Linked DNA regions of Tribolium castaneum. Each later gene encodes a partner of the first gene's protein in a complex. Links are inferred from orthologs where the notes say so. Each region holds a gene or a part of one and is shown in the gene's direction. Other genes may lie near its edges.

Region 1 (3,834 bases):
TCTTCTAAATCACCGTGTAAATTAAAGTTCGCGCACTAGTGCGAGACATCTACGTTCGCGGTCGCAAAATGCCATTTTGACGGAAGGTAGTGTTTTAACATTGAACACCCTGATTGTATTTCGATATTTCGAATGGAGAAAACTCAGGATTGGTTGTTTGTAGGACAAAAATAAAACAATTTTTATAGATGATGGTATGAGCTGCAACTTTTGTCTGACCATTTTCATGATAAGGCTTACTGTTTCCGAGAATAATAAAAGAAAAACGATAATTTTGACCTTTCACATAGAATTTTTTTTTGGCTTCGACAACTGTAGTTTACGTCTTTACATATTTTTAACATTCACGGTAGTTTTTTACAGGCATTTGTGCATTTTTGCGCACACCATTTGGTAAAATAACACGAAAGTTTTAGGCTTTCAGAGACCGCGAAATATACTTTATGATAAATAATTCCTTTGTAATTTGCCGCTTTTTTAATGCTTTAATAGGCATCTTAAAGCACGCAACGTCATCAAGTGCAATGTCATAATAGTCATTATTTGCCGAACATTTTACGAAAATTTTCAGATTGGCAAGAAGCAAATTCGAGACTGTATTTTTGCAAATTTTACAAATTTTAGGGGGAGTTCATCCAAGATTACTTTCATTATTATCTATATTCTTGTTTTTGACAGAATTTGGATAAAACAAAATTTTGAAATCAATTTTTCATTTTCAAAATTGAAACATTATCAACTGTTAAAAAAATCTCTAAATCGACTAAAATAACAATTTTTGTTTAAAAACGTTAAAAAGGGGGCAAATTACAAAAAATTATATTAAAAACTCGTTTCATAACGAATATCATTAAAATAGCATGGGATTACAAAAAATGATTTTTTGACATTGGAGAACATGTAAGCAGTGTAATAAAAATGACATTTAACATATACATGTAAATATGTATTTATGCACTATTGTGATCAAACAAATTTGTATTATAGTTGACCGTATTTTTTATTGTGATCGTAAGAAATTGGAAGTTGTACCATAAAATTGAATAAAATAAGGAAAACCTGGTAAGAAAACGTTGTATTAGTGTTTGTTTTTTTATTTTTTGTTGTTAATTTTTCTGATGAACCAACATATAAATTATCGAACACACCAACTCTTTTTTATAGAACAGTTTGTTACTTTAATTTTTGTGCATGAAACGAAGCCATGTGAATACAAAGCATAGAATCTATCGTTTTATTCTTAAATTGTCTGCTTGTAGAAAAAACTAATTGATAAATCATCGAATTACTGGAATTCTTTTCGAAATTAAAACATTCTTCAATTTTTAGTGGTAAAGAAACGAAAATACAGAATAGTACTTTTGAATAAGACGGAAAGCAATAAATAAAGTTGTGTGGTTACAGAGCAAAGTACCAATTTTGAAAGTAATGCTGAAGAAGTGTACAGAGTGAGCTTAAAGTAATGCATAAAATTCATAATTCTTTTATTTTTCTAAAACAGAAAATACAAAAACATTTTATCTGCGGTCAGTTTTGACTGAATAAGTTACAGTGGTCAATATGACGTCGCCATGACGTCATCATATAATTTTTAAGGGTAATATTAAAGCGTAATTGATCCGGTTTTGATCAGTAAAAAAATAATAAATGGGTCGTACAATATTTTTGAAACGAACATTAACTATTTTTCTTGTTTTCTTTATGTTGTGCTTATGTTTACGCTTATGGGCTTGTCAAAGTGTGGTGTTTACTAGTTGCTACGCCCAATGCGTCGGTAACTAAATTTGGCATCAGTAGGTAATTTTGTCGACGCCTTGGACGTAAAGGTGGTTCCATGTCTGGTGGCGAACTGACAGTGACATAAAAGTCTCTTGAAATGCACTCACTTGGTTAAGATAATGAAATACATGGGCGTGCATTTTTTTCGCTAAAATTTACTTAGTTGTTATTTTAATAAATTTTGAGGACGATGATACATACAAAAATTACTATTATTGTTAATAATTTGTTCATTATTCTTCATTTTACGCCTCTCACTATAATTTTTTAAAGACTATCAGTGGATTTGAAAATCATTTTATTACGACGCCTATGGACAATTTTTTTTCAATAGTAAACATGTGTTTATTGTCAAAATTCAGTCATTTTTGACAATGTCAGTTCGCCACCAGATTTGGAATAAGCTCTAGCAACCGGTAGTCATAAGCTGCTGTATTGACAATTATTGTGACAATATTTAATAAATTTAAAAAAAGTAAGAAAAAAATTGTTTTCGATCGGTAAAATCTCCTTACCGTTCTTGTACTTTATATACGATTACAACTGTGTTACTTATTTTAAATGTGGATAACTTTCTTCAGTTTGGAGCTCAGTTTTAATAAATTACAGGAAATTTTTGGCCAATCTTTCTAATAGCTGTTTGCATTAAACATCGTTGTTTTCAATATTAACTTTGTATCAAATATTTGCCATATTGATCACTTAAGACAAGTATTAATTTATGACAACGTTACTCCCTTGGACTTATGGACATGTCACTGATAGTGATGGCTTGTTTTTATTTCTTGTCCCTGTAATTGAATCCGTCCCACGATCACAAGTATTAATAAATAAGCACTGGATTATGACTTTAGTCTTAAAACAGTGTTATATATGTTCTCAGATATTTGTACAGTTTGCAGTGAATTTGCATCATTTAGCAAAAATAGGAATACGAATACGAATCATTGCGAAATGTAATGGTGGTTGCATAGAGAATTTGGTTAGGCTTTCGTGAATCGCCCCTGTATATAATTTAATTTTTGACTCACTGCAACATTTACTGAGTCTATTGGTTACTAAAAAAATAATGTGTACTTAAATTACTTTAATTTATTATAATACAAAATTTAGATATGAAAGGAAGTTTTGGCTCATGATTTCTCGTTTACCTCAGTGGACTAACTCCATTACAGGTAAATGTATTGCAGTTGTAAAAAAAAACGGTTTAAAGACGTCGCCTAATTTAATCGTTCATCCGAAACTGAATTTCGTGGTCTAATGTGTGGGTAAGTACCTATACAAACGAGTCACATTAAGACTTTTTATTTAAAAATGCAACGGAAATCTGTTTGCTCAATATTTTTTGTCTTGGTTGGTGGTCTAAAAACCGTCACGATTTATAACTTATCAATCGTGTCGAGTCTGCAAAAGTCTATCGTATAACCAAAACACCATGTTCATTATCGCACATTCAGCGTCAATTGTTTCCACAATCTAAATCGCCCTTAAATGTTTTCAGCGCCAACAGAAGGCTGCTGTTGGGATTTAGTCGATTCGAGCACCGAGAAACTTCTAGAAGTGCCTTTGCACGCGTTAGAGTCTGTTCCTGCCGGCATCGTCGGTCAGGAGAATCCCACCGAACACGTCGAAGTGATTCCGATGCAAGAAGAACTCGAAGTGAGACTAGAACAAGGAAATTTCCCTGTTCCAAACGATTGGCCTTACGATGTGAAAATGGATTCGGAAATGGTGGCAGCGGCTTTGGGAACCACTGACAATGATAACGCCACCAACGCCACCACCACCTCCAATAACAAACCGAACCAAAACTATCAGGAATTCACCGGAAATCAAGTCAAACTCGAGCTGGAAGTGACTCTAACACCGGAAATTATTAGTAACGATAGTCTCATAACAAGTACAGTCAGTTCGAGCAATGGAACGAATTCGACTGTCACGCCCTCTGTTAGTAAGACAGTAACGACTGTGATTCCGCCAACTACCATCGTTTGTTTGCCTTCGGTTGTCAGTACTTCGTCTCTGGTGAATCCCCCAGTTAATGAAACGCAATGT
Region 2 (3,834 bases), on another chromosome or scaffold:
TATTCCTTTTAGAAGGTTGGTTGTACTAGCGCACAGTCGGATTCTGGCAAAACATTGTGTGTTATTTCGCATCGACAGTCGCAAATTCACTTTTTGCACGGTCGCTCGCAATGAAATTTTATGACGTCGTTAATTAGAGAAAATTTTATTGGACGATCCAGTGTCGGAACAAAAACTGAAATGAAGAACTCGACACTGAAATATATAGGCGTCCGTGTATTGTAAAGTAGGCGGATTCGAATCACATTCCTGTATCTATCATCATGGTGGACTATAAATCTGTTTGTGTCTAAACGCACCTGTTGTCTCGTATTGTATCCTGAACATTAACACTTTGCTAACTGACAAACAGTGAAAAAGTCTGTGGGATTGTTTTCCACTTTTTTCCACATCGAACATCTGGTCGGAATGTCTGCCAGATTAAAGCCGAAAAAATTTTACTCGAATTATTTTACAAAGTTGACTCAACTCTCGTAAATAGCGTTTGTGTACAACATTCGCGAGATAAAACTTCCTAAACGTGTTTATTTAATTTACGAACAGCTTTGGGAAGTTCTGATCGAGTTGCCAACTTGCGCGAGGTTTAATTCGAACAGAAAAATCTGACATTGCCACAAAGAACTTGATGAAGAAATTATTTGAATTGGAACGCTCTCGACTAGGTGCACGCAGAGGTGATTCCCCTGTAAACGTGTAATAATAGATTAGCTTTCTGCGGATAAGAAACGATGATATATTATTGTAAATTGCATCGTTTAAGCCGTCTCGAAGGTCATAGACTAAGCAATAATAGCTGCGTTTCGCCGGTAAAATAACCAATTACACGAGTGTCCGAAAAAGATTCTTGTAAAACAAAGAGAAGGTGAAAACGATGCAGTTGCATGCGAAACAATGCAAAAAGAATGTTAAATGGTCATCGGTTGAGTGGAAGCGAATGCGAGCAAAAACGAAACAAGGGAATGGTTAATATCGACGAAGATAATTATTCTTTAGACGTTAATTGGTACTTGGAACACAAGAGCTTTTTTATTGAAGTACAGTTACAATATTGAATGGATTCGGTTTCGTTTTGTCTTATTGAACAAAAACATTCGACCCAACGACCGCAAATGGTATAACTAGTACGTTGTCGTCAATAAGTGGCTCATAAAGTACTTTCGGATTCCTAATGTTCCGATTTACATACAACGTATACCTTTTGCGTTTAGGCTCGGATTCAATTATAATAAGTCAGGCTTAAGCAGATAAGATGTTAAAGACGGAATTAAGGGCGAGTTTGTAATTTCTGTCCTTGCGATCCGATTTGAATGTTTGATTGTGTTGCGAGTGAATTTTTGAAAAAATCCGGGACCTAGATTATCTTCTCTGGAATAATGGTCGACCGCCTAACAAAACCAGGACGCAGAGTAATGAAGTCTGATACAGATTATCTGTGTAATCGGGGCCCCCAGCGCGACGCTAATGAATTAATTTCGTGCGCTGCGAGGAAACAAGGCACCGCTTTGTCATCCCATTTTAATCTTGTTTAATTGTCTTTTAATCTAGCGTCGGAGTTAGGCGACAATCCCATTAATGATTCGCATCATTACTATTCATTTCGCACATGAGATCGGTCGTGGCGACTAATCGCTCGTTAAAAATTACCAACTGGAACTATCATCAATTCGATTTCGAGAAAAATCCCCTTTACGATTTTTTAATTGAAAAACCCACACTTGTCAGCTGTGATTGATTGCGCAGATTTGTTAAACCAACCTTGAATTTTTTCAAACGAGTTTTGTGACACAAAAGCCCAAAAGAATCTCAAATACGTGACCATTTAAAGAAACATTAAATCTGTTTATGACGTCCGACGATTAGGATACAAGGGTGTCATAAAATACAAACATACTACCGGAAAAAAGTTTACTACTTGATAGAGTGAAGAAATATTTACATAAACACCTGTCAGTAACCTCAGCAAGATAACCTTCAAGGATACAGATTTTTAGTTTCTGTGATAATTAGTGCGCATTTGTTTACCTTAAAAATATTCTTTTCGAAATATTTACACGGCTAGAATTATCTGGTTGTGTACAAATTTAATTTTATATAATTTTTAAACACGTCATTGTTTGCCTTAAGACGAGAATAGAAACGTCAATAAATGCGCACTTTGTGTTCGAGATATGTAACCGCAGAATTTTTCGCAACGGTGGGTTTAGTCAGAAACCTTGGAAACATTAATTGACCGCAAATCATCTTGAATGTCGAAAGATTAATAAAAATTTGCGGTTGACGCGCCAACAACTAGAAACTATTTTTGTCAGTTGCCACATATACAGCGTGATCCAGCTACATTTTCGGCTGAAAAGATTTAAAAAATTGAGAAAACATTTTTTATTTTATTTTTGGGTTTGCCACAGTGGCGTATTAGAACAGAACTATTGATTGAGCAATCTTGGCTGGGCGTACCTGTACAAAAACGCGTAAAAATGCGGTTCTAGCTCGTTCGTTTTAAAACCGCAGAGTTTAGCTTTAGCGATCATAAACCCGTTTAATGTTAACATAACCAGATAGATAACACTCCTTTTAATTTTTTGTTTGTCTAGGCGTCAAAGCAAACGGCTAATTACCAGTATGAGTAGCAATAAAACAAAATCGTTTCGTTTTGTATATTGAGCAAACACGACCCGGGAGTATGTTTGAATAAGGAGCTGCACAATGTGTCCATGCATATTCATAAACTACTCAGCTGCAATCTGTGAGACTCTTCAAGTCCTGTTTTCACGACTGGATGATCCGTCTAGCGCAGCTTATTAATTTGCATGTGACTATATTAAAGCTGGCTCGGAATCGATTTCATTGTGTGGATAATTGAAACGATTAAATTTTTGCGATTTGCATAAGATTTACCGGAAAAATTGTTGGAGTCTGTGTTGAAATCTCGTCTGAACATCTGCTCCGAATTGAATAGCCCTTCATTTCTCTGGAGCGCTCTTGGCAACTTGTACCTTTTATTCTATTGTTTCGTTTGTGTGACGCTCGAACAAGTATTTCACTTAACTTGTGTTACAATAAAAACACTTTCAAATAGGCGGTAGAAAAAATAACGTATGACGCTCGGGACCGCTTCCAGTTTGTATGGTCGTAATTAAGCGAAATGAGGAGCGGAGATATTATCTAGTGTTACTGAATTGTGAATAGTAAGGCTGTAAATCATGTAAGTTAGTGTGTGGTTGTTCTCTAGTCTCGAGTTTCGATCTTTATCGTATCAAACGACCGTACATTGGAACTATTTGGTTCATTAACCGAGATGTAAAGGTGTTGTCTTTGATTCCGTACTTTGTTAAATGGGAAACCATAAACGTGTTCATTGCTTTCCATTAACTCGACATTAAAACACTGTCAAAGCTATTTTAACTCCTCACAATTATTTCTAGAAATAAATCCAACTGCTTTTTTGTTTCAGCCCAAGTAACACAGCTTTAAGTTCTCCGGAACAAGTCAAAGAGTATCTCCTCACGTCGGGCACTTGCAAGTGTGGATTAGAATGTCATTTCAAATATGACAACACCTTTAATTTCGATCCTAAGGTAAGTGAAACGAAGCAACAAGTTTGCCGAAAAGTCGATGCAATTTTGACAAGAGCCTCGACACTGTCGAGAAAATGCGAAGCGGTAAAGATAAGGGTGTTTGGAGCAAACATCATTTCAACGTCTAGATACAAAAGGTAATCGTTTTTAGCGAAACGGGGCGAACAACCTTACTAGGAGATGCACAAAGAGACGGGTAAGAGGTGGATGGTCGACGCTGGTATCGATCGCGAGTTGGACCGCGCGTCTAAACGCGTCT

Evidence for each region.
Region 2: Asx (region 1) and sba share a complex: the UniProt entries of both Drosophila melanogaster proteins name them as parts of the polycomb repressive deubiquitinase (PR-DUB) complex. The link is inferred for Tribolium castaneum from reciprocal best matches to the Drosophila melanogaster genes Asx and sba.

The regions. Positions count from the first base shown.
Region 1 is NC_087398.1:15,858,746-15,862,579, forward strand, and holds part of Asx (polycomb protein Asx), read left to right. Parts: intron 1-3,280; coding exon 3,281-3,834. UniProt on the Drosophila melanogaster protein: Non-catalytic component of the polycomb repressive deubiquitinase (PR-DUB) complex, a complex that specifically mediates deubiquitination of histone H2A monoubiquitinated at 'Lys-119' (H2AK118ub1).
Region 2 is NC_087397.1:5,887,573-5,891,406, forward strand, and holds part of sba (methyl-CpG-binding domain protein 5), read left to right. Parts: intron 1-3,451; coding exon 3,452-3,575; intron 3,576-3,834. UniProt on the Drosophila melanogaster protein: Non-catalytic component of the polycomb repressive deubiquitinase (PR-DUB) complex, a complex that specifically mediates deubiquitination of histone H2A monoubiquitinated at 'Lys-119' (H2AK118ub1). Important for maintaining stability of the PR-DUB complex.